Linked DNA regions of Oryzias latipes. The main gene of each other region encodes a partner of the protein of the gene in region 2 in a complex. Links are inferred from orthologs where the notes say so. Each region holds a gene or a part of one and is shown on either strand. Other genes may lie near its edges. The genes, in order: semaphorin-7A and plxnc1.

What was found.
Region 1: the proteins of plxnc1 (region 2) and semaphorin-7A are in contact, whole or in part, in a crystal structure (PDB 3NVQ), measured with the Homo sapiens proteins. The link is inferred for Oryzias latipes from reciprocal best matches to the Homo sapiens genes PLXNC1 and SEMA7A. Residues at the interface, in NP_005752.1 of Homo sapiens: Arg131, Thr151, Glu152, Val153, Asn195, Pro196, Ala197, Ala198, Ser199, Asp200, His201, Thr203, Ala206, Lys208, Arg213, Ser214, Leu215, Ala216, Thr217, Gln218, Glu219, Leu220, Arg222, Lys224, Glu272, Ala350, Ser352, His353; in NP_003603.1 of Homo sapiens: Gln194, Tyr196, Asn197, Gly198, Lys199, Arg202, Arg204, Tyr213, Ser215, Asp216, Thr217, Gln270, Gly271, Gly272, Glu273, Ser274, Ser275, Leu276, Val278, Ser279, Lys280, Pro372, Thr375, Glu376, Phe378, Gln379, Asp382, Arg383.

Annotation. Positions count from the first base shown.
Region 1 is NC_019874.2:26,905,884-26,917,924, reverse strand, and holds the start of semaphorin-7A, read left to right. Parts: upstream 1-4,648; 5' UTR 4,649-6,457; coding exon 6,458-6,536; exon of another isoform or gene 6,537-7,293; intron 7,294-12,041. Other genes in the region: leucine-rich repeat and immunoglobulin-like domain-containing nogo receptor-interacting protein 1, read left to right, coding at 1-1,270. UniProt on the Homo sapiens protein: Plays an important role in integrin-mediated signaling and functions both in regulating cell migration and immune responses.
Region 2 is NC_019881.2:2,527,817-2,539,947, reverse strand, and holds the start of plxnc1 (plexin-C1), read right to left. Parts: upstream 5,544-12,131; 5' UTR 5,504-5,543; coding exon 4,472-5,503; intron 1-4,471.

The DNA.
Region 1 (12,041 bases), on a different chromosome or scaffold from region 2:
GAACTTAGACCGCAGCAACCTGACCTCCATTCCCACAGAGGCGCTAACCCAGCTGCAGAGCCTCACAGTGATCCGCATGTTTCGCCTCACCATCTCCTCACTGCCCAACAATGCTTTCCGAAGACTGCCCCGTCTGCGTACCCTCCAGATCTTAAACTGGCCTGCGCTGGACACAATTGCAAGCAACAGTCTAATTGGTCTAAATTTGACATCACTCACTATCAGCAGCTGCAATTTGACTGCGGTTCCTTATGCAGCACTTCGTCACCTGGTGTACCTGCGCTTCCTGGACCTGTCCTACAACCCCATCACTGTTATCCAGGGTAACCTCCTAGGGGACCTTCTGAGACTCCAAGAATTACATCTAGCTGGGGCAAGCCTGCTACGAATAGAACCAGGAGCCTTTAAGGGCCTGTCCTTCTTTCGAATGCTTAACGTAACATCCAACATGCTCACTACTTTGGAGGAGAGCGCTTTCCACTCCGTGGGGAACCTTCAGGTGTTGCGTTTGGACGGGAATCCCCTTGCATGTGACTGCCGGCTTCTCTGGGTGATGCGGCGCAGGCAGCGCTTAAACTTTGACGGCCACCAGCCCACCTGTTCTTCTCCTGACGCTGTACAGCAGCGCGAGTTCAGAGACTTTTCTGAGAAGGAACTCGTCAGGCTCTTCACGTGTCGGCCGGCTCGTATTATGGACCGCAGGCCGCAGGAGGCGAGGGTTGAGGAGGGCACCACAGTTCTCTTTTCCTGCAAGGCTGATGGGGATCCATTTCCAACCATCACCTGGATCTCCTCTCATAAGAACACAGTTTCCCCCACAGGAAGAATCAGAGTTCTACCGAATGGAACTCTGGAAGTCCGCTTTGCCCAAGTTCAGGACAGCGGCACATATCAGTGCTTGGCAGTCAACGCTGCAGGCAATGACAGCATGTCTGTTGGGTTGTATGTGAAAGGGGTCCCTCGTAACAAAACGACCCCTTTCTTTCTGGAAGAAAGCTGGGTCGAGCCCCCAGACCTCCAAAACGCCAACTCCTCTGCTCAAATGGCCAAGCCATACCCATTTGATGCCAAGACGCTGATCATTGCCACCACTATGGGCTTCCTGTCCTTCCTCAGCTCGGTGGCCATCTGTTTCGTCTTCATGTTCTTCTGGAGCCAGAGCAAAGGTCAGATCAAGCACACGGCAACGATTGACTTTGTTCCACGCTCTTCTGTCGGTGGAGGAGGGGATGGCGCCGATGGCGGCAGGTTTACCATGAAACTTATTTAGACCAATCGAAGGAAGTTTCTGTGAATTTTTCTGCACTATGAACTCACACTGCTACTCTGGAGATGGACACCTGGTATCAAAGGCTTCTCCAGATGCCTGATCAAAAAGAGTTTCTTGCTCCTGTGCCAGCCTTCTTCTACTTTTGTAGCTGAAAGTTACATCCAGGCATCTTCTCGCCTGTGTTTTGAAACTAATGATCGTACAGTCCTTGGGGTGAACATCATTATGTAGACAGAGGTGTCTCAGTTTGTGTACATTTAATTTCAGTAAACATTGAGTCAATATGCATCATTGGTTTCTTTTATATAAAGCATGAACTTGTAAAAAATGAATTGAATACATTTTAGTCTTTGAAGACTAAATCACAGTGGTAAAAGACAATAAGTGCTGTTTGATCATCCATGTTGGACTGATAGACTTATTTACTGTCTCTGCTTTGCCATATTCGACCCTTTTACACAAATTCTGCTTTGGTTTTAAGACTTTAACTTGTGAGTAAAGCTTTGATATCCATGTTTGGAATAGAATAGCCAAATATATTCCTACTCTCTTCCTAAAATTTAGACACTTTAGACCTTTTTAGAATGTTAAGGTTTGGAAGGTTTAGGCATCTGTGTTAGGTAGCCATGTAAATGGCAATGTATACTTAACTGTTTTATACTTTTACAAGTTTTTTTTTTAGATCAACTGCACCTTTCCTTTTGTTATTTTCTGTCTCAGCATGCTATGATTTTATATATATTTTGTATCCGAACGAAACGCTGAAAACTATGTGCCTCACTGACAGTCTCACCATCGACAGAGAGAATGCTGTCCTTGATCTGCGTTATCTTGTAAATATTTAGGTCAAGGTTGACTTGTGTCCTACGTATATTCTATAATTTTATCCAGTCCTGGGGATTAGTGTCACTCACATATGCCCGTCTTGTATACCAAACTGAGTAGATGCATTAGGCTGTGTACAAAAACACTTAACCATGCCTGAAATGAAGTTGTGCAAGATTGACATAATTGTTTTTTTGCTGTAAAATATTTTCATGTTGTCATTAAATACCGGTTTGAACCTGCTCTTGTTTTTTTCTGAATGTTTTTGTATCTACAAAATATCATTACAGTAGATAAAAACAAAGACTGAAGTTCTTCATTTGTGAGCTTCAAACTGAGGGAAGATTTTCTTTGTGAGAAATGACTGATTCCTTTTAGTGAACCAAATGCACATGTTTTGGTTTTTATTTTCTGTAAATATGACAAAGTCCAAAAACAGGTTTAATAGGTTAATTTGTTACTCTAAATTGTCCGTAGGTGTGAATCTGCCTAAGTGTGTGATATGTGGCCCTGCGACAGACTGACGACCTGTCTAGGATGTAGGATAGGCTCCAGCAGCCCCATGACCTCGAAAGGGACAAAACGGAAGAAGATGAATGAATGAATGACAGATTGTGAGATTTAACCTGCAGAAATATACTCTCAGTTTAAACTCAATTTATCTCGTATTTTCAGGTCTCTTTCATTGCACAGCTCTGAGGCTGAGAGTGAAACTCAGCAAATATTAAACCCAAGCGCTACCATCATTTCACTGTAGAGGTTGAGAGACTCAAACGAATTCACTGAACAGTAGATAATTTTGTTCGTGTCATCCCCAGAATAACCCAGAAAAGCGAGGAGGGGAAAAAAGTGATTATCACGTGTATGAGCAGAGATTTAAACCCTTTTGGATTACCTCGGCACGTCTCAATCTGTTATATAGGTCTGTCTGGTGGGTGCTATCCTCCTGCCCAGCCTGGCCTGTCATATTATCTATTTTAATATAACCATTTGCTCCCATTGGACAGAAAGCCAAGGGAGGAGATTAAAGTGGTGCTCCGAAGCCCCTCCCATATCCCATGACTGTCATACACCCCAAAGAATATTGTGGTCTCCTCACATCTGCTGTCAGTAAACTTTAATCCGTTTTTCCCAGAAAAAAATTAAATTACAGCTCAACTAAATCATTAAAAATAGTATTTTTTCTTATTTTATTAATTTTATTATTGCCCTTTTAACCAAATTACTCAACTATGGAGTCAATAAATACAGTCCTGAAAGACTCACCAAAATAAAAAAGGTGTTTTTTGTGTTTTTAACATGTTCTTGACATAAATAAATAAAATTAAGCTCAAAATGACTTTTCTGAGTATGTATTTTCCAGATCATTGTTTATTTAGGAGCAGATGCAAAAATAGTGATTGAAAGAGAGCTTATTTGTGACATAAAATATGCCGGGCGGGCCACAAGCTCCCTGCTCCGCTCCATTCTGATGCTTGTCGACGACTCCATCAATGTCTTTGTTCTTCTCATTCGAGCTGACATCTGGCACAAAACTGTATGGCTGGATAGCTCCAATGTTGCTCACCATTTTCGTATTTTCAAGTAATATTAGCTTGTGGTGTAAGAGGCTGTGAGCTAGAGAGAGAGTGCATAAACATAGAGCTCTCAAGAATGGGGAGGGGAAAGGGGGTTTGCTTGCTCCACACCATTGGTCCCGCCCACAACTTGAAGGCGAATTACTAATGAACTCCTGCCGCTTTGCAGAAACTGTGTCCCAAAAACGAACTTTTTCTTTTTTTTACATTTTGGCTAAAAACTGCATTATCATGGTTAAAACAACAGGTCAAAATTTGATCTGAGTGGGACTTTTAATAGTCTACACAACTGTAAAAAGTTAAATCCATTAATAGTTCAAATTCCAGCATGAAAAGTGACATCAGAAACTTAATTTTTCCCTATGCTTAATGCAAATGTCTTGTTTACGCTGATCTGTGTCAGGATCTGCGGAGTAAGTTTTAAATTGGACCCAACTAGGTGAAAAACAATCATTCTCATCCTCATTCTCTGGATTCGCCGTCATTAGTCCCTGTGATCTGCTGATGTTCTGATTTAAACCCGGCAGTTGTGCTGAGAGCACAAACTAAATAGACTCATTAGGTTTAACAAGCAAAAGCCATTTTCCTCAATCAAGTGTTTTGTAAGTAAATCAAAGTGAAGCCTAAAGCCGTCTGACTGCAGATGAAAGAGGGTGCTTCAAGGTAAATCCCAATAAGCTGAAGCTGTGTTCACAAGCAGCTTTATTGTATTCTCTGTCTTATGCTTAAATAGGAATCGCAAAAATGTACTTTATAAATATTGAAAACACAATCTACTAAAGTTTCATTTACAGAAATGTAAGATTCAACCTGGGATTGCTGGGATGTTGCTCTGATAGATCTCCTTGAGTTTTCTGTGTTGAGTTGTTGTCTCTTCCTCCTAAGGTTCCTTCAGTTCAGGTGAATTTCCTGCCAATCAGCCACAGGGATCTCTTGCCTCTGATATTTTTGGCAAAGTGTGCACAAGGTCCAAGTCCTGCTGGGAAATAAAACGCACCATCTTCACAAAAGTAGTGAGCAGTTTGAAGCTAGAAGTGTTCAGAAACATCCTGGTAGATGACAGCGTTGACTTTTAACCAAATAAAACACAGGAAATCAACAGATACAGTTGAAAAAAATGTTCATGAAACTGAACAACTGAAACTTTGTCTTGATCAGTCTCAAGCAGCTTTCTTCCTCCAGATTCCGAGATATTGATTTAAAACAACCAAAACTTACAGATTTTACATGGATCTTACAAAAAAAAAAAACTGAACAAATGACATATCGTCAGGATATTTTTGTCCGCAGCCCAAGTCTGACCTTTTTGTTTCAAAAGAGACCAATCAGAAGGAAATCTGAAACCCACTTGAAATATTGTGCATGGCAGCCAGGAATCACAGGCAGCCCACCTTTAATCTCCACATCATTTTGAATTTGATTTAGCTTTTCTCTCCATGAATTTGTGTATAAGATTTTAATGAAAATCTAAAATCTATCCTTTAGGAAAAGTTGTATTTTATGAATCCCATACTAACATATATGTATGTATTCTATCCAATAGGTCATCTTAATAATAAAACATCAGCACACTGAACCTCTGAAGTGGGAACAGGACGTTCAGATGCAATGATGTAAGAAACATAAAGTTATTGTGAAAACCAGTCGGAAAACTCTGCCTTTGCTGCCATCTAGTGGTGAAATGTGGGAAACATAAAGTCAACAAAACAAAAATCTCTGAGGATTGAAGTCTTAAATCGACAAAGCATGTAATCCCAGTTATACACGGATAGAAAAACGTTAGTTGGGAAGGGAAAAACATTCTGAAACTGCGTGGTGGACTGCAGATTGAACGTTTATGCTGTATTGTGTTAATCTGTTCCTAAAAAAATAAAACAGGGATCTGGTCTTAAAATGACCAAATAACCGAATGTGACTGAAGATATTAAACTTATGGTTGCTCAAATTTTCAGCAAATACAAACACTTCAAAGATCAGATCTGAATCGGCTTCAAATGATTGATTACAGAGGCAGTTCAAGCTATTTTAATGCAGATCACGTGGGTGGATTTCTGCTCGTTTTGTCGTCTGTGTGGCATCTGAAGTGAATGAGAAACCGGAATGCCTCTTTTTCTCCCTGATTTTTAGAGTAACATCCTGCTGATTTATTCCACTCCATGGCGCGCTGCTCTGCAGAGAGCTCTCATAAAGGCGCAGATGAGGCTTTGCTCGGCGCCTGCCTGCAGCTATAATTTTCCTGTGAATGAAAAGAAGGCATTTATGAAGCCTCTCCTGGCGGTTATTCCCCATTCACGCTTCTTCATATTTGTGACTTTTAATTCAAAAATGTGAGAGTCGAATTCATCTTACACTCTTGAAACAGATGGAGAAACGGTTAATTTGAGGTTACTTTGGATGCAGTTACATCCAAAGATTATACAAATTTAAGAAAAATAGAAAGTATAAAAACAGTTAGATGTTTGTTTGGCCATCCAAACATAAAATCATCTTTTCAGCAACAGGTATGGGGAGCATAATTCATAATCGTGGATTTGGAATAACACGAAGTCAATGTATTCATTTTGCTCCTGCAAAGCATCACTCCCCCCGCTGCCTGTCGTCTCCCTGAAGCCAGACACCCCAAATGTTATGAGCCCCTGGAACCTCTGGAAGAGCAGACGTATCTGGGAGCAGCGGTGGTTGGCACAGCCTATGGGACACAGCAGATCGGGGAGGGACCTGAGTGGAGAGAGGACAGGACTTCAGACGGAGCGCATCGTGGAGAACAGCAGACCTCAAAAGCAAGATGAATTCGTTGGTCCTCCTGGCACTTTTGGCCTCGGTCGTTGCGGGAAAGGCGCCCAGGCTGAAATTTGTGGTGCACGGTAAGCCGCCGTTGGTTTTGTCCGCATGTTTTACTGCTCCGTTTTCTGTTCTGTGTTGAGCCTTGGAGTCTTGGCTGGAGGGGGTGGACAGATGATTGGATTGAGCATCTTGGGGTTGATGCGCCCCTTCATGGTTGATCTGCTCTTTTAAAGTGCGGGTGTCTTCTCTTTGCCATGTACTATGAGCGCATATCAAGCCTTCATCGGAGAACTGCGTCCCGATTAATCTCCCTAACAGACCCTCCCTCCTTCATTTGAGTTGTAAATTACGCGCTCCAGCATCCAGGCCTGCAAACATAGTCAGGTGATCTGAATGAAAACCTGGAAAATCTGTGAGACCAATAAACTCAGTATGTTTTCTGTCCATTTGGGTCCATTTAGTTTTGTATGCGTAAATATGCAACTTTCTTGTTTTTTCCTTTTTGATTCCCATTTATGACACAAGTTCTCAAAGGCTCCGATGTCTCTCTGTCTCCGCGTCAGACGCACAGAGGGATAATCAACCCCCAGGCGTTCAAAGGCGACCTCTCGTCCTCTGAAGGAGGAGGGGGATCATGGCGTCTTTTTTTGTCCTGCGAAGGCTGCGGCTGTCATCGCCGAAAAGCGTCGTTATTGTGAAATATCGCTCTGTAGCGGTTGATACAGTCATTGTGGCTCCGCGTCCTTGCGGAGCTGCAATGCGGGACACGTACAGCTGCTTCCCACTGCAGCAGAGGAGTCGGGAGAGCTCAGCCTCACAGTGGAGGGAAAGCACGCACAGCTGGACGCGGGCTTCAGAAAAGCAGACAATGAGGGGACATGATTGGGGGAAGAGTGTGGAGTGGAAAATTCCGAGCACAGACCCCGTTATCTATTCCACTCACGAGTCCCCCCCCCCCCCCCGTTTTTTAAAGTTTATTTATTATTTTTTACACCCCACACAAATCTCTAATGTATTCAGCAATCAATAGAGGTGTGGGCTGTTGTCAAGTTATCTGAATCGCTTCTCTCTTCGTGGTGGAGCTCAAGATGCCGCTGGTGGACGTGCGTGTCATATCAATCAAACTGTTCTTATAGAATTGCTGACTCCGGGACAGGAAGACGTTCAGGGGATTTGGGGGGAAAACAGGAAAGATTTTTTTAAAAGCTGGTTCAGGACCTCGGACAGCTCCGAGGTGTTCCTCAGGAAGTTAGCATTTGGAGACCTTTTTTTCACCTTCAGAAAATCGAGCTTGGGGTTTTACTCTGGTGTTTACACCTGTTGAAATCCTGAAAAAATGTTTTAAATTTTCTTCTGCTATGTTAAATTTAATCAAATGAAACCAAGGTTGTTTAAAAACAGTTTTAAAACAAGGGGATTCTAGCTTTGAATGGGGTTATTTAGAGGCTTTTTCTTGGATAAAATAATCATTTTCTGTTTCTTCTTCCACATTTACAACAAGATCAAGGCACAATTTTAAGCGACTATAAAGGGAACTAAAATACAATTCAATTATAGTCCAGCCCTTGAGACATACATTACCAATTTGATTTGTGTGGTTAAGGTTCTTATGAAGTCAAACTAAATTCTCATGTGCCTTATACTTTATCGCCAGTTAATGTTTTGTGACAGATAGGTGGTGGGCAAAACTCCTGGAGCAGAAAGTCTCAAACAAGTCCAGAACATTTGAATGTTTAGTAACAGAAACACATAGACCAAGTACATAAACTGCACCAACAATTTTCATTGGAAAAAAAAAATGAAGTTGCTTTTTTTCTGCCTTTTTTGCTGCATTTTACCCTTCTACAATTACATCAGTTTCATGTAAAATATCTAAAAAGCCAAATTATATTGTGTTTGTTGAACCACATTTGATCAGAAATCTAAACAGTTTGGCCTTTAAACGCAGGCTGCCTCCTCTTTTACACCTGATACACACATTTTTGACACCATTTAGCATTTGGAATCGTGATTCTGCCCACATGCTGAAGTAAAGTTCAACAATCACTCAATTTTAGATTTAATTTGGCCATCATCCTCCCGAGATAACTAAATGACTCTTTAGCATCCAAGGAGCTTCATATTTTGTTGTCTGCTGCTCCCATGGCAGGGAGATGTGTTTTCTTGTATTGTCTGATCAAACCTGTCTTATCAAAAAGCTGCCTGCTGCTACTGGAAAGGCAGTGACAGAATCAGAACAGTGCCACTAAAGCCATCATTTAAAAGCAAAAGCAGCTTGCTGGAATGAGCTAAAAAGCCTCAGAGCTGCTGCTAAAGTAAATGACGTCTTTGTTGAGTTGGGTTTTTTTGCTGCGAGAGGCACCTTTTGCATCACAATTACTAAAAGTGTTGATTTGCATAGCTGCGGTTGCTTTTATAATAGTTTCTTTTTTTTCTCATGTATTAGGCGTTCGTGTATTTGTTCAGGATTAAAAACAGGACCGAAGCTTTGTGCTTTTCATTTCTTTTAGGGGTTTGCTGAAAGGATTAGGATTTGGATTATTCAATGAATAAATGAAAAAAAAAAGTCAGCCTCTCTTTACTTTGTGAACTGAATACATATCTATGACCTGACAGTGATATTACAAGAAAAACAAAGTCCAGAAGGAACAAAAAAACAAGAACATGGCATCCTTCAAAGCCCATCTAGACGACTGTTGTTGTGAATTTGGGCTATACAAATAAAATTGAATTGAATTCTTGGGTGAAGACAGTAAAACATTTTCTGAAATGTGTTTTTCATTTGGTTTGATGGAACTAAATGGAGAAATCTTCAATGGGTTCTTGATCACTGAACTTTGGCTCTGCGTTTTTTTTTTTCTTCCAGTAAATGCCTTTTCCTTTCAGACTAACCCACCAAAGTTGCTCTCCTTTCCTCAATTTGCATATTTCTGCCTTTAAAAATGACTCACTAATTCAAAATGCTTTTACTTCTAAGAACATGTGTCTGTAATTGCCTTTTAATTAAACCTTTTAATCAGGCAAGCTAGAGAAAATGAGGATGTTTGTCTTTGTTTGTGCTCAGCTGACCTTTTGAAGATTCAAGGGTATGGCCGAGCACAAGCGATTGAATGTCTGAGAGAAAAAGAGAAAGAACAAATTTAGGTTTGTGAGAACAAAAAAAAACACACTTATGAATCTCTACACTTAAAGATGCATTCCTTGTTCTGTTGCAGCAGACCATATTTTAAACAACCGTTTAATTATTATAACCTGTTTCGAACCTTGAGGAGTACGACACCTGAATTTCTTTTTTCTGCATCTGTTTTTGTTGTCAATGAGTGAAAGCCTTTGGAACAAAAGACTCCTCTGTCTTTAGAATGGAGGATTGATGATGACTCGTCCCCATGAAGCTTGTCGTGTAACTCTTGTGCTATCTTAGATGACCCCACCCTTACATTGACATGTTATTCCTGCCATGAAAAAGGTGGATAAAGGTGGAAAGATTTCATGTAATCCATGGACACCAGTGAAGATCACAAATCATTGAAGAAAAAAGGTTCAGAGCACTGTCTAGTGGGTCTAGATGACCCAACTCCCAATGTTAAAGTGCCCAGGATAGCACAAGGGTTAAAAGTAGATTTCTCCAGAGATGGATTTAGTTAAACACAGACATGCAGCCCTTAACTTCTTGTTATAGCACACATTTTTTTTCCAGCTGTTTATGGAAGAGAAGTTGAAGAGTTTAATGGTTTTTACAGCTTTCAATTAACACGGATGTTTGACTTTGAAAAGGTGGAATAAAAGAATCTTCTCATCATTTGTTAAATAATCACAGTATTTCTGGCAACAATTTTGATCTTATTTAGAATAGTTTTTAAAGTTCTATGATCTTCCAACCATGTCATTTTTAGCCAAAATCCCAAAACCTGTCATTCTCTTTAACAATTTTTCAGCAGAGCGGTAGGAGTTTCGGAAATTCCCCTCTGAGTTGTGGGTGGGACTGTTGGCAGGAAGTAAGCCTGCGTTCATTCCCCTTCATCCCTTTGTTTACACTCTTTCCTGCTGGCTTCCAGCCCCTCACACCCCCAACCTAAGATTACCAGTGCAACAAAAAAGGGCGAACAATGTTGGAACTAGGCTGCACGGTGGCGCAGTGGTTAGCCTTCTTACTGTGAGGCCTTCTTGCCTCACAGCAAGAAGGCCTCAGGTTCAAGTCCCGGCTGGGGGAGATGAAAAACTACATCAACAGGGGATCTTTCTGTGTAGAGTTTGCATGTTCTCCCTGTGCATGCGTGGGTTCTCTCCGGGGTCTCCGGCTTCCTCCCACCATCCAAAAACATGCTGCATAGGTTAATTGGCCAATCTAAATTGTCCCTAGGTGTGAGTGTGAGAGTGAATGGGTGTGTGATTGTGGACATTCTACCCTGCGACAGACTGGCTACCTGTCCAGGTTGTCCCCTGCCTTCACCCAAAAGTGGCCGGGATAGGCTCCGGCAGCCCCGTGACCCGAAAGGGACAAAACGGTTAAGAAAATGAATGAATATTGGAACTATCCAGTCGTACAGTTTTGAGCCAGATGCCAGCTTGTTTGAAGATGATGAAGACAATATTGGATTTATTTGTGAATGATCGAATGAATCTGAATGGAGAGGAGCAGAGAGCTTGTCGCTTAAACGTTTTCAATCTGAATGTTTTTTTATCTGCTCCTGATTCACAATGATTTGAATACATACTGAGAAACACAGTTTTTTTAAATCAGAAAAATTCTAGATCAATATTTTAAAAACACCAAAAACACAATTTTTATTGGAGATGGTCTTTGAGTCAAGTCTCTTTCTGTGAACAGATATCAATAAAACTGGATTTACCAACAGTTTTGGTTTAGACTATGAAACAGATGTGGGAATATTTAGTTAAACCGTTTTCTAATAGTTACATGTTTATTTTGTAACAATATAATAATGAGCACAGAAAATAGAAAAAAAGATGTGTTGCTGCGTTCACTTTGTAGATTTCATTTTCCCAAACTTGAAAGAGTTCAATGCATCAAAATGATAATATGATGATGTGAAGTGAAACTATAACCTGCATTGACAAGTTTCCCTTTGGTCTTCCAACAAAGAGAGCACAATTTTGCTCAAATGAAGTGGATATTAGATATGAGTTTAGTGAGTTTGCTAGAACTTTACTAATAGCAAATGATGAACTAAAAACTTTGCTTGTCCTCTCTCTGTGTGGGGTGGGTGGTGCCGGGCCTGGGGTGTCGGCGCCTCCGGGGGTGGGCCCCTGGGCTGGGTGGCCCTGGCCCCTTTGCTGGGGGTGGGCTGGGGGACGGCTGTTTGACCACCGGGGGACAGTCTACCAGCTGTCCCCAACTTACCCCCTTCCTTATATAACCTCATATTAGGGTGAGGGGGTGGGGGGTCTAGCCTGCGATGCGCCTTGGGGGGGGGGCTACTTGGGAGTGGCCCCCCTCCTATGGTTGCCGTATGGAGTGGGCCCCCCCTCTTTCGGTTTTATTTGCACCTTAGACATGTAGGGTCCTTGGTAGGGGGGGTGCTTGGACATCACTGCAAGCAAGCAGCAGATGTCCTCCTGGCACC
Region 2 (12,131 bases):
CCCTGAGGTCCTCAGAGTACGAGATGGTTCATATGGCACTAACATGTCAGAGATGTACTTTGGTGCGTGGCCATGGAGAGACTTGTACACAAGCAGAGCTGCTTTGAAGTCTATTCTTTGAGGTACAGGGAGCCAGTGCAAAGACCTGAGCACAGGACTAATGTGATCATACTTCCTGGTTTTGGTCAGGACTCGAGCAGCAGCATTCTGGATGTACTGAAGCTGTTTTACAGCTCGTTTGGAGAGGCCGGTGAGCAGGCCGTTACAGTAGTCTAACCTACTGGAGACAAATGCATGAATAAGTATCTCCATTACCGCAGCCGACAGGATACCCACAAGCCCGGCCGCCCTGAGAGGACCAGCCACTCCGGGGTCCCTCTGTGTGTGCTGTGTATTTGCTGTGTGTGTGCTGCTAACGTGCAATGTGTTCCACCAAACCCTCCACATAAGGCCCAAGTAAAACCGGGATGGAGGGCGGGCGCCGACGCGACCCCAGAGAGAGAAACACCCCCAGTGAGCCCCGCCAGCATACCCCACCCATCCAGTTCCCGGAGCCCTATGTACAACATTTGTTTGGGTGACGGCGGGGAGGAGTAGGCGGATGGGCACAACCGGGGGAAGAAGGCTCCCCCGAGCGACCGGCCCCCCAGCCGGCCGCGGTAGGCGCCCCCCCTCCCAGGGCGGCCAGGCAGTCAGGAGGCGGAAAGCCAGCCGCAGATAGAGGCTCGCAGCGCCGATAGACGGCCAGCAAAGAAGGGGCCCGGTGCCAGGACCACCACTAGCACAGGATGTGGTGCATCCGGGACCACCTCCGGAACAGGACGGGGCTGGGGTGCATCCGGGACCACCACTGGAAGGGGTCGTGGTGCGTGCCGGACCACCTCCGGAACAGGACGGGGCTGGGGTGCATCCGGGACCACCACTGGAAGGGGTTGTGGTGCGTGCCGGACCACCTCTGGAACAGGACAGGGCTGGGGTGCATCCGGGACCACCACTGGAAGGGGTTGTGGTGCGTGCCGGACCACCTCCGGAACAGGACAGGGCAGGGGTGCATCCGGGACCACCACTGGAAGGGGATGTGGTGCATCCGGGACCACTGCCGGAACAAAAACGGGTCGTGGACGGGGACGGTGGCGGCGACCACGAGGATCCCCCTTCAGGGCAAGATGGCTCCCAGTAAAGTCCAGGTGGCTCCCACTCCAGGCATATGAGGCAAACTGGGCCTGGTCGAAAACCCAATATGTCCTGGTCCGCTCTGCTTCTTGGCAGTAGGCCTCTAGCAGCCGCTCTGCTGGGTCCAGAAAATATGGCTGGTCCATTCTGTCAGGGTGAGGGGGGCTTGAGAGCAGGTAGGACCCAGACGCAGAGGCAGGAGGCACACGGTTCCAATGCAAGAGGGTTTAATAACAAACAAAAGGCGCTGCAGAGCAGGAATCAAAACAAAACAAAGCTTACTGTGGCGTGGCGAGGAACATGGAACATGGCATGAAGGGACGAAGACACATGAAGACGTTAACGGACCAGCACAAGAGGAAGGCAGAGACAAGACTTATATACAGACAGGGTAGACAAGACACAGGTGAACACGATCAGGGCAGATGGGGACCAAGGAAGTACAACTCAAGACATGACAAGACAGGAAACCTTTCAAAATAAAACAGGAAACAGAACCAAACAAGACAGAACAAGCACTAAAGCAAAAACCAAGACAAAACAAACTCAAACCATGACACTGACCTCCCTAAGGACTAGCACACCGCCCCCCCAGGCCCCCCCCAATTAAAAAAAGAAAGAAAAAAATAAGAAAAAATAATAATAATAACAATAATATATATATATATATATATATATATATATATATATATATATATATATATATATATATATATATATATATATATGGCCAACTACTGGCCAAGGGTGAAACATCGGCCGCGGGCAGACGACCCCAGGCCCCACAACCCCAAGCCCCAGCCCCCGCCACAGCGACCAGCCACCCAGCACGGCACCCGGCCGCCGTTCCCGGTCAGCCGCACTGACCGGGAACGGCCCAGGAACCCCTGCCAATTTGCCGGCAGAGTGCGCACCCCCACCCGAGCAACCAGAGCCCAAGCCGGGAGAGCGGTAGGCCCGGCCCACCCAACCAGCCAGGACCCGGCTCAACCCATCACCATCCCACCCCTACTAGGTGATGTGACTAATCACATCACAAATGGTGCAGCCACGTTAGATGGAGTTTACTGTTCAACTCAATGTTCTGAGCATGGATGATCGGGGGGTCAAAGTAGAGGAGGTTTTCTGTTTGTAAATCATGAACAGACAAGTTCAGCATAAAGAAAATCCTAGTTGGGATTTTAGTCTATTTTTTTTCTAACAGGGTTACTTTTCACTGAACACTGGCTGTTCTGCTTTTCCTTGAGACAAGAAAAAAACATTTAATTGTTCGTAGTTATTGAATATGTGAAAAGGAAATGTGAAACTAACTACAGTTTTGATTCTAAATAACTTTATTCTCTTTGCTTTTTAAGAAAAACACTTTCCAAACTTCAATTTTGCCTTCAAATACATTTAATACACTATTATTTTTGCAGTGATTAATTGTGATTATTCAGAGAAAATCATTAGTTTAAATGCAGTCAAACTTTTAATTCATTGCCCAAAATTTTTTAGTTGTTTCATTCTTATTGCCAGTCTCAATCATCATCCAACCATCTATTTTCCAAATCTGCTTATTGTCTTTTAGTGTCACAGGGTTGCTGGAGCCTATCCCAGCTACTGTTTGGTGAAGGGCGGGGTACACCCTGAACAGTCCATCACATGGCCACACGACCAAAAACATTCACATTCTCACATTAGGACAACGTGGAGTCATCAATTAACCTGTGAAGCTTGTTTTTGGACTGTGGAAGGAAAGTATCTGTAGAATAGGAAACTCACTGGCCATCTTTTTAGGCACATCTGTTCCACTGTTGGTTAATGTACACTCCTAATGAGTAGGGCTGCACGATATGAGGAAAACCCGCGATATTAGTGATCAATATTGCAATGACAATATATGAACCAATAGCAAAACAACCAAAAACATCATTTCCATTTCACTGCAACAGTTTAAAAATTCAACTCCAAATGACCGTCGGTTACATAGGAGGCGAACATCTAACATAAAAGAGCTCCAGCCGATTTGTCAACAACATTGGATTGGTCAATTGCAAAAATCGGTTTATTGGATTCGTTAAATACTTCAAACTGCCGTAAGATGGTTTTAGTACATTTATTATAACAATTTATTGCAATTTTCTCCGTCTTTTGCGATATGCATATTGCACAGCTCGATTGTGTGATTATAATAAATTTCAGCCAAAAATAGAAAAGATCCAGTTAGCAGCAGTTCTGTGGGCAGAACAACCAGACTGGTTCCAGCTGATAGAAAGACAACAGGAACTCAAAGAACCACTGGTTCCAACCGAGGTCTGCAGAAGATCATCTCTGAAAGAATAACACGTCCAACCTGGAGGCAGATGGACTACAGTAGCAGAAGACCACACCGGGTACCACTGCTGTCAGCTAAGAACAGCAAACTGAGGCTACAATTCACACAGAATCACCAGAACAGGACAATGCAGATGTTCCTCTGTCTCATTTATGTTTTCTGAAGGTCACTTTATCTTATGTGAATGCCACTTTTTGCTGTCATATTTCTGGATGTCTTTTTTGCTGCCGAAGATGAGAATCTCCCCATTGTGGGATAAAGAAAGTTTATCTTATCTTAACAGAAGATGGAAAAACGTTGTCCGGTCTGATGAGTCTCCATTTCTGCTGCCACATTCAGATGGTAGGGTCAGAATTTGGCCTCAACAACATGAAAGCATGGATCCATCCTGCCTTGTATCAACGGTTCAGGCTGGTGGTGGTGGTGTCATGGTGTGGGGCATAAAGTATTTTCCTGGCACACTTTGGGCCTCTTAGTACCAGTTGAGCATGGTTCCAACCCCATATCCTACCTGAGTATTGTTGCTGACCATTTCCATCCCTTTCTGGCCACAGTGGACCATCTTCTTATGCTACTTCCAGCAGGATAAGGCGCCATGTCAGAAAACTGGAATCATCTCAGACTGGTTTCTTCTTCCACCGTCATCAGATCTCAACCCACTAGAGCACCTGTTGCCCTCTGAGAGGCGCATCAGAGGCATCAGAGCCAAAACAAACAGACTCAAAAACAGCTTTTCCTCAAGGCAATAGCCATGCTAAACTCCAAAATGTACCTAATAAAGTGGCTGGTGAGTGTGGATGCGCCCTTTTCAAAGGTCAGAAGACAAGGAGGGCTAAAACATCTATCACCATTCACCCTTAAGCAGCATCTGTGGACTTCAAATATTTCCCAGTTTACTGTTGACCACAGGAATGACAGCAGAAAATGAAACATTTAAAAAGGATTTTAGTGTCAGGACAGAAGAATTCTTCAGCCACTTACCGCATTTGTGGGTGGTTTCTTGAAGTAGAAATCTGGTTCCTTGTTGGGATTATTGATGACAGGAGGGCTGATGTCAAACAGAACCAGCTGGGTATTGGTCTGTCCTCTGTCCACACAGAATACCCCGCTCCAAAGCACCCGCTCTCCACCTGGGACAACCGAGGAGGCCAGCAATCTGCTCCCATCCCATCCACTGATGTTGAGCGTAGCGGCTTCCAGAGATTCCAGAGTTTCTTCTTTACTTTTAGAAGCTTTAAGCCAAAGAAGACGGACTTTGTTTTTGTCCACGTTGGAGAGGATATAGATAGTTTGGTTGATCTGAAAGCCATCTACAAACTCCACAGTACCCTTACTTTCAATCACCGGAGTAAAGGTTTGGTCTTCAGTGAGAGAAAATATACCTCCGTCTTGAGCCTCAAGCGTGTTCTGCAGATTAATTGTCTTTGCATCAGACCTAGTACTGGGTTTATTTGGATCTTGCTGTATGGCAGTCAGAATGTAAGTTTCCTTCTGAGGTGGATTCTTCTCCAGTTCCACCAGGAGGCTGATGGATGCGTCGCTTTGCATCAGTGGCCCCACCTGAATGTCTTCACTGTGCAGAACTTTAGAAATGTTCTTCAGGTCCAGAACCTCACAGTATCCTCGTGGTTTTTTCTCTGTCACGCCGCAGATGAGCAGAGTTTTATTTGCCACAAAAGGCAGGAGCACGTTGACGGTGAAATTTGACTTCCATAATTCTCTTTCTGAGACACAATGAAGCGAAGCATCCCCCTGCCCCTCCCCACCTGACAGACCCCTCAGAGTGGGACAGTGCAGCGGTGTCAGGTTGTGGCTCAGCTGGTAGAGTTTCTCCTCCGTGGCGATGTAAACTCCGTCTGGAGCCACGGCCAGGTGTCGCACTTTTCCTTCCAAAGTGAAAGTTGTGTCCTCTTCCAGACTCACGGCAGGTTCTGCCCAGAGGGGAAACAGCAGAGAGAGAAGCAGGATCATGTTGAAGCAAAGCTGTTTCCTCCACAAGCTCCCCGTCTGCATGTCACTCTGCTCTGAAGATTACAGCTCAAAGGAGAAGTGCTTAGACGTGAGGCGAGGAGGCGGCGCATCCACCAACGCTGAGAACTGCAGAGCTTTTTCAGGTAGTGAGCTTTTCCTCGGTTTATTTTCTGCTTCCTACAGATACAGATACCAACTGGAACCAGATCTGATGCTGTCATTGATGCCAGCTCACCACAGAATAAGACAGAAGGAGTTGTTGTGTTCATCAGTCCTGAACAACCACTGCATGTTATCTAAAGAGTTCTAAAAACTAATCAGAGGATCAGGGATCAATAGACATTTTTCAGGGTCAATGTTTGCAGTTTAAGACTTCTAAAAACACTTTCTGACTTTTTCTCAGTAATATAACAGTCGCTTAAAAGAGTAAATCTATGCCGCCACCTACTGGGTATGTTGAGTAACTTTAGCAGCAATAAGAATGACACGATTCATTAAATTTACTGTTATAGATGACCACTTCAAGACCTGCTCCTTTGAAAATCGTGCTTCATGTGTTTTAACATGTTTCATGTGACATTTTTGTCATGATGCAGGACTTTTATAAAGAAAATTAAGTTAAAAATGGCATTTCTGAATATTTTGTTATTCAAATTGTGGTAACTCTGGAGCAGATGAAAAAGTACTGTTGGAAAAAGCTGTGATGCAGGTGTTACTGTCGGCGGGCCACAAGCTCTCAGGTTGTCTGCAATCTTAAAACTTCCTGCAGATTTGGTCCCGTTTTTCAGCTGCAGACAGCTCGTATCCACCTGTAAGAGCAGTTGTGACTGAGGCTGTAGATGTCAGCAATACTCCCTTATGATACTCGTGTAGGTGAAAGTGATATAATTCTCAACATGAGTTTGTTCACTTTATGATATTGGAAGACATCAAAGCAATAAAACACTGGAGGCTGTTTGCAATGACAAAATGTGCTGCAGGCAAAATAAACATGAATCAAGTTGAATCCAGATGGTAATTTTTTTTTTTTTTTTTTTTTTTTTTTTTTTTTTTCTAACTTGTCCTGTCCAACAGCTAGGCAGACAGATGAGAGCTGAGGGCCTCTTGGGTTGGACATATTTTACTTTAACAAGAGGGGTTATTAATCTTCAGACAAACCAAAGGTATGTCTGAATAAACCCCTTTTGTAATTGAGGCCAAACTTTATTAATTTCAAACATGTCTGAAAATCTTTGGTGTTGGACCGGACGGAAAAGGAAAGAGGGGAACAAGAGAGAGGGACGTTAGAGAGAGGGGGGGTAGGGGGTGATAATAGGAGGGGAAGGGGGATAAGACCATGAAGCAGCATAAAGCAGCAAGTTTACTGGTTGTTAATCATTATGGTAAGGTTCAAATGAAAAAAAAAACAAAAAAAAAAAAGAGGGCGGAGCCTGTCCACACACACACTCAAATGTTATAAACACACCTGTTAGTTGCAAAAATGTCCACCTGTCGACATGTACACAAAACAGATAGTGTTCACATGCATACTTATGCCTTAAAACCAACTAGTGTGAAATATTTCAGTCATTCAGTCTGTTGAGCTAACACCTGTGCTCAGGTGAGTGTTTATGTTCTTCTAAAATGGATGGTGGAACGTGAAAAGAAGGAGGGAGAGTGCCCAGCCATCCCCACCCCAAGACCCCCACCGCACCAGCAGCGGCAGCCGGAATCCCCCCAACGCCACACGGGAACCGGCAGGGAACAACCGCCGCCCGGGCGACCAAGCCCGCCACCCAGGCCAGGGCCAGCAGGGCCGCCGCAAGGCCCCCAGAGCCAGAGAGCAGGGAGGCACGGAGGGAAAGAGGGCGCCGCCCCAGCCCAACCAGGAGAGCAGCCCCCCCGCCGCGCCGGGAGAACCCAACGCAGGGCCCCACCGGAGAAGGACGCCCACAGCCCCAGACGAGCACCCCACCACCACCCAGGAGTTCCGGGCATCCCCCCGCCCCAACCCCAGGTACGAGCCAGGACCCCCCAAGGGAGACCCACTCCGCACTCCAGGCAGCCATCCGCCCGGCCCACGGTTGGTCCAGGGAGGAGCGAGGCAGGGGCCCGCCGCCCCCGCCCAGAAGGGGGGAACCCCGGGGAAAAAAAAGAGGGCCCACAAGGGGTGTTGTAAATATGGCCCGACCAGGCTCGGCCACAGTTGGAAATTTGGCAGGGCCCAGCACTCAGGAGCAAGGACCAGAACCCACCCCCCAGGGACACGAACACCCCCGGCTCAGATGTAATGTGAACCCCCCCACCGCGCGGAGAGAGCACCGCCGGGCCCAGGAGGCCAGCACCCCGGGGACACAGCCGCCGTTGCAAAGGGGCCCGTACCCCCCACCAGGGAAGAGGCAGGGGACAGATGGTCCCAGGTCCCACCTTCCTTGCAAAATGTGTGTGCGTGTATGTGTGTTTGAGAGAGTGTGTGTGTGCATGTGTGTGTGTTTATGTTGGGATGTATATATTGAGGGGGGAGGGGTGTGTGTACTAAGGGGGGTGTGGTTAAAATTGGCGGGTAGGGCACTAAGGGGACGTCTCCTGATTACTCACAGTGACGTCCCCTCACCCTCCCCACCAAGGGGCCCTAAATGTCTAAGGTGCGGTTAAAATTGGCGGGTAGGGTGCTAGGAGGACATCCGCTGCTTGCTGGCAGTGATGTCCAAGCACCCCCCCTACCAAGGGCCCTACATGTCTAAGGTGCAAATAAAACCGAAAGAGGGGGGGCCCACTCCATACGGCAACCACAGGAGGGGGGTCACTGCCTAGTAAACCCCCCCCCCAAGGCTCATCGCAGGCTAAGCCCCCCACCCCCTCACCCTATTATGAGGTTATATGAGGAAGGGGGTAAGTTGGGGACAGATGATAGACTGTCCCCCGGTGGTCAAACAGCCGTCCCCCGCCCCCCCCCCAGCAAGGGGGCCAGGCCCACCCAGCCCCGGGGCCCCACCCCCGGAGGCGCAGACACCCCAGGCCCAGCACCACCACCCCCACACAGAGAGAGGGGAGCCAGAAAGCGCCGGCCCCCCCCGGAGCAAGCCCAGGCCCCCACCCCCAAACGCCGGCCCTAGAAGAGCTCTGGTCAGGCCTCGACGGGACCGAGGCAGCCAACCGGCCGGGGAAACCGCCGATGGCCTCAGCGGAGACCCCGACCCGTCAACCCCCCCTGCCCCGTACCAATAGTGCCCCCCCCCCCTCCCCCAGAATGCCCCCCCACAGGACAGGGCCGACAAGACCCCCACCCCACCCCACCCCCAGACCCCGCAGCCGAAGCGGATGACACCCAGAGCGACCGGGGGCCCCAAGAGGGTTGTCCCGTCCCGCCCCAGAGCCAGGGAAGGGCCGATCCCAGCCCCAGGCGTAGACGGGAAGCCCATCCAGCGCCGCTGGGCCCCTCCCCCCGAGCAGCGCCCCCCGCCAACCCCCCCCAGCACAGGCAAAGGGACCACCCCCCCAAGCCAAGCCAGACCACCACCCCACCCCCCACCACGCACCCCCACACCCAAGCCCAGAGGACCACGCAGCGCCCCAGGCCGCCCCACCCAGGCGCCGGACCCGACCCCCCGACCAACGGAGCCCCCACCACCCCCGGCCAGGCACCGGAGGCCCCGACCCCCACCCCGGCCCACGGCAGAAGGGCAAGGAGCAGCGACGACCATGCCCCCCCCCCCCCCCCTAAGTCACGGAGTTAGCTATGGGAGACCAGAGAGACCGAATTCTTTCAAAGTTACTTGAACTTTGGGCTGACATTTTTTCCAAGCTGATATGATCAAGCAGCAGATTTCTGTGTTGACTTATATTTATATTTTTTTTGCTTTTCCAATTTATTAAAATAGTTTTTTTAGCAATGCAAAGAGTTATGAAAATGATAGATGCTAATCCTACTTCTACATCGATGGCACTCATGTCAACAAGCACACAAAGTGACGGTGAAGCAGTGATTGAAACCTTAAGCCAGACTGATAGATCGGCACATACCTGCTGCCAGAGAGCCTGGACAGGCGTGCAGAACCATAGTGCATGCATGTAATTGTCGGGTAGATTACTGTCACAGTGCTGACAAATGTCTGAGTTACTGAGACCCATCTTGAACATCCTCTGTCCAGTGTAGTAAATTCTGTGAAGAGTTTTGAAATGGATTAGCTGCAGATTTGGATTTTTTGTCATTTTAAAGGTGTTTAGACAAAGTTCTGACCAAAAACTTTCATCTGTGCTGATGCTCAAATCCGCATCCCATTTTGTTGTCGGAAGTGAAATATTGTTATCTAAATTACATAAAAGTTTGTATATTTTGGAGAGAGTTTTATTCATTGAGAAATTGATCAGAGTGGTAACTACATCTGGTAGCTTTAAATCGTTGTCTCTGTATTTAAACTTTTTAGTAATAATTGATTTAAGTTGCTGATATTCCAAGAAGTTATATATTCCATGTTTGTCTTGAAGTTCCTGGGGAGTTATGAATCTTCTATTAATAATTATGTGCTCTAGTTGTTTTATGCCCCCTGCTTGCCAAGCTGGGAAGTGGATAATTTTTTTGTTTATGAGGATGTCTGGGTTGTTCCAGATGGGTGTCATTTTGCACGGTTGAATTGATGATTTTGATATTTTGAGAAATTCCCACCAGGCTGTTAAGGTGGCATTTATATTAATACTTTTGAAACAATCCTGTCTTTTAACTATTTGACTAATAAATGGAAGATCTGACAGGTTGATCTTTCCACATAACGCCTGTTCCAAGTCTAACCATGAGTTGGTTTCTGGATTATTTTTTAACCATTTTAAGATGTATTGTAATCTATTTGCAAGAAAGTAATTGTGGAAGTTAGGTAATTCTAATCCTCCACAGCTTTTTGCAGATTTTAAAGTATTTAGACTAATTCTTGCAGGTTTATTGTTCCATAGAAAGCTTGATATGGATGAGTCTAATGTTTTGAACCATTTTAATGGCGGTTGTGTGGGAATCATTGAGAAGAGATAATTAACTTTGGGTAAGATTTTCATTTTAACCGTGGCTACCTTGCCCATAAGGGACAAAGGCAGGTTGGTCCAGCGTGTTAGATCGTCCTGTATGTTTTTCAGTAATGGGGTGTAGTTTAGCAGCACCAGTTCTGATATTTTGGGGGAAAAATAAATACCTAGATATTTTATATTGCCTGATTTAACTGGTATTGTGAGTCCTTGCTCCGCATTACTGTTCAGTGGTAATAAAACAGATTTATTCCAATTAATGGAATAGTCTGATATAGAAGAGAATTCATTAATGATTGTTGCCGTTTCATTTACAGAATGTATATTACTTAAAAACAGTAATATGTCATCTGCATAGAGACTAATTTTATGATGGCTGTGTTTGGTTTTAATTCCTTTAATACTCTCATTCTGTCTTATTGCTGCAGCTAGAGGCTCGATAAATATTGCAAAAAGAGAGGGGGAGAGTGGGCAACCCTGTCTAGTTCCTCTTCCAAGAAAAAACCTGTTGGAAGTCTGTTTATTAGTTCTAACTGATGCAGTGGGGTTGTGATATAATATTTTGATCCAATTGATGAATGATTCTCCAAACCCAAACTTATGGAGGGCAGCAATGAGGAACTTCCAGTTTACTCTATCAAAGGCTTTTTCAGCATCCAGTGATAGTATAGTCATTTCCTGGTTTTTGATGGTGGCAAAGTCTATTATGTTAACGAGTCTGCGGACATTGTCATCCGAGTGTCTGCCTTTGATGAATCCAGTTTGATCAAAGTCAATTATGTGAGGAGTGACTTTTTCTATTCTCTGTGCTAGTGCTTTGCAGATAATTTTTACATCTGCATTAATTAAAGAAATGGGGCGATAGCTTGAAGGACTCGTGGGGTCTTTGTCTGGTTTTAGAAGAAGGATAATGTTGGCAGAGTTCATGTTAGGTGGTAGAGATTGGCCTTCATTGATAAATTTTACCGTTTTATAAAACGTTGGTGCCAGTTGTTCCCAGAATTCCTTATAAAACTCTGCAGGAAAGCCGTCAGGCCCTGGTGCTTTACCATTAGGCATAAGTGACAGAGCTTCATGAAGCTCAGACAACGAGAGCGGAGAGTCTAAATTTGTGATTTGATCTTCGTTTAACTTGGGCAGGTTTATATTGTTGAGAAATGAGTTGATGCTTTGTTCTGATGGATTGATCTGTGGAGTGTATAAGTTTTGATAAAAGTCTTTAAACGCATTATTAATTTTTACCGGGTCATGGGTGACATTCCCTGTTTGGTCCATAATCGAAGTGATTGTTGATTTTTCTTTATTAATTTTAAGCTGATTAGCTAGAAATTTGCCAGATTTATTTGAGTTTTCATATCTTTCCAGTCGAAGCCTTTGTATCTGGAATTGTGTTTGTTTATTGATGATGTCATTTAACTGCAGCTTTAAATTTTTCAGGTCCCCCAGTATGTGTTCCTGTGCAGAAGCAGCATAAGCAGTCTCCAGAGTTTTTATTTTATTTCCTAATTCTAATAAATCTGCTTTCTCCTTGCGTTTTTTATGCGTTGAATAAGAGATGATTTTCCCTCTCATGACTGCTTTTGCTGCTTCCCAAAGAATACTTGGTGATATTTCAGAAGTATCGTTGAATTCTAAGAAGGTTGCCCACTCTTTTTTAAAGAATTCAATAAATTCCTGG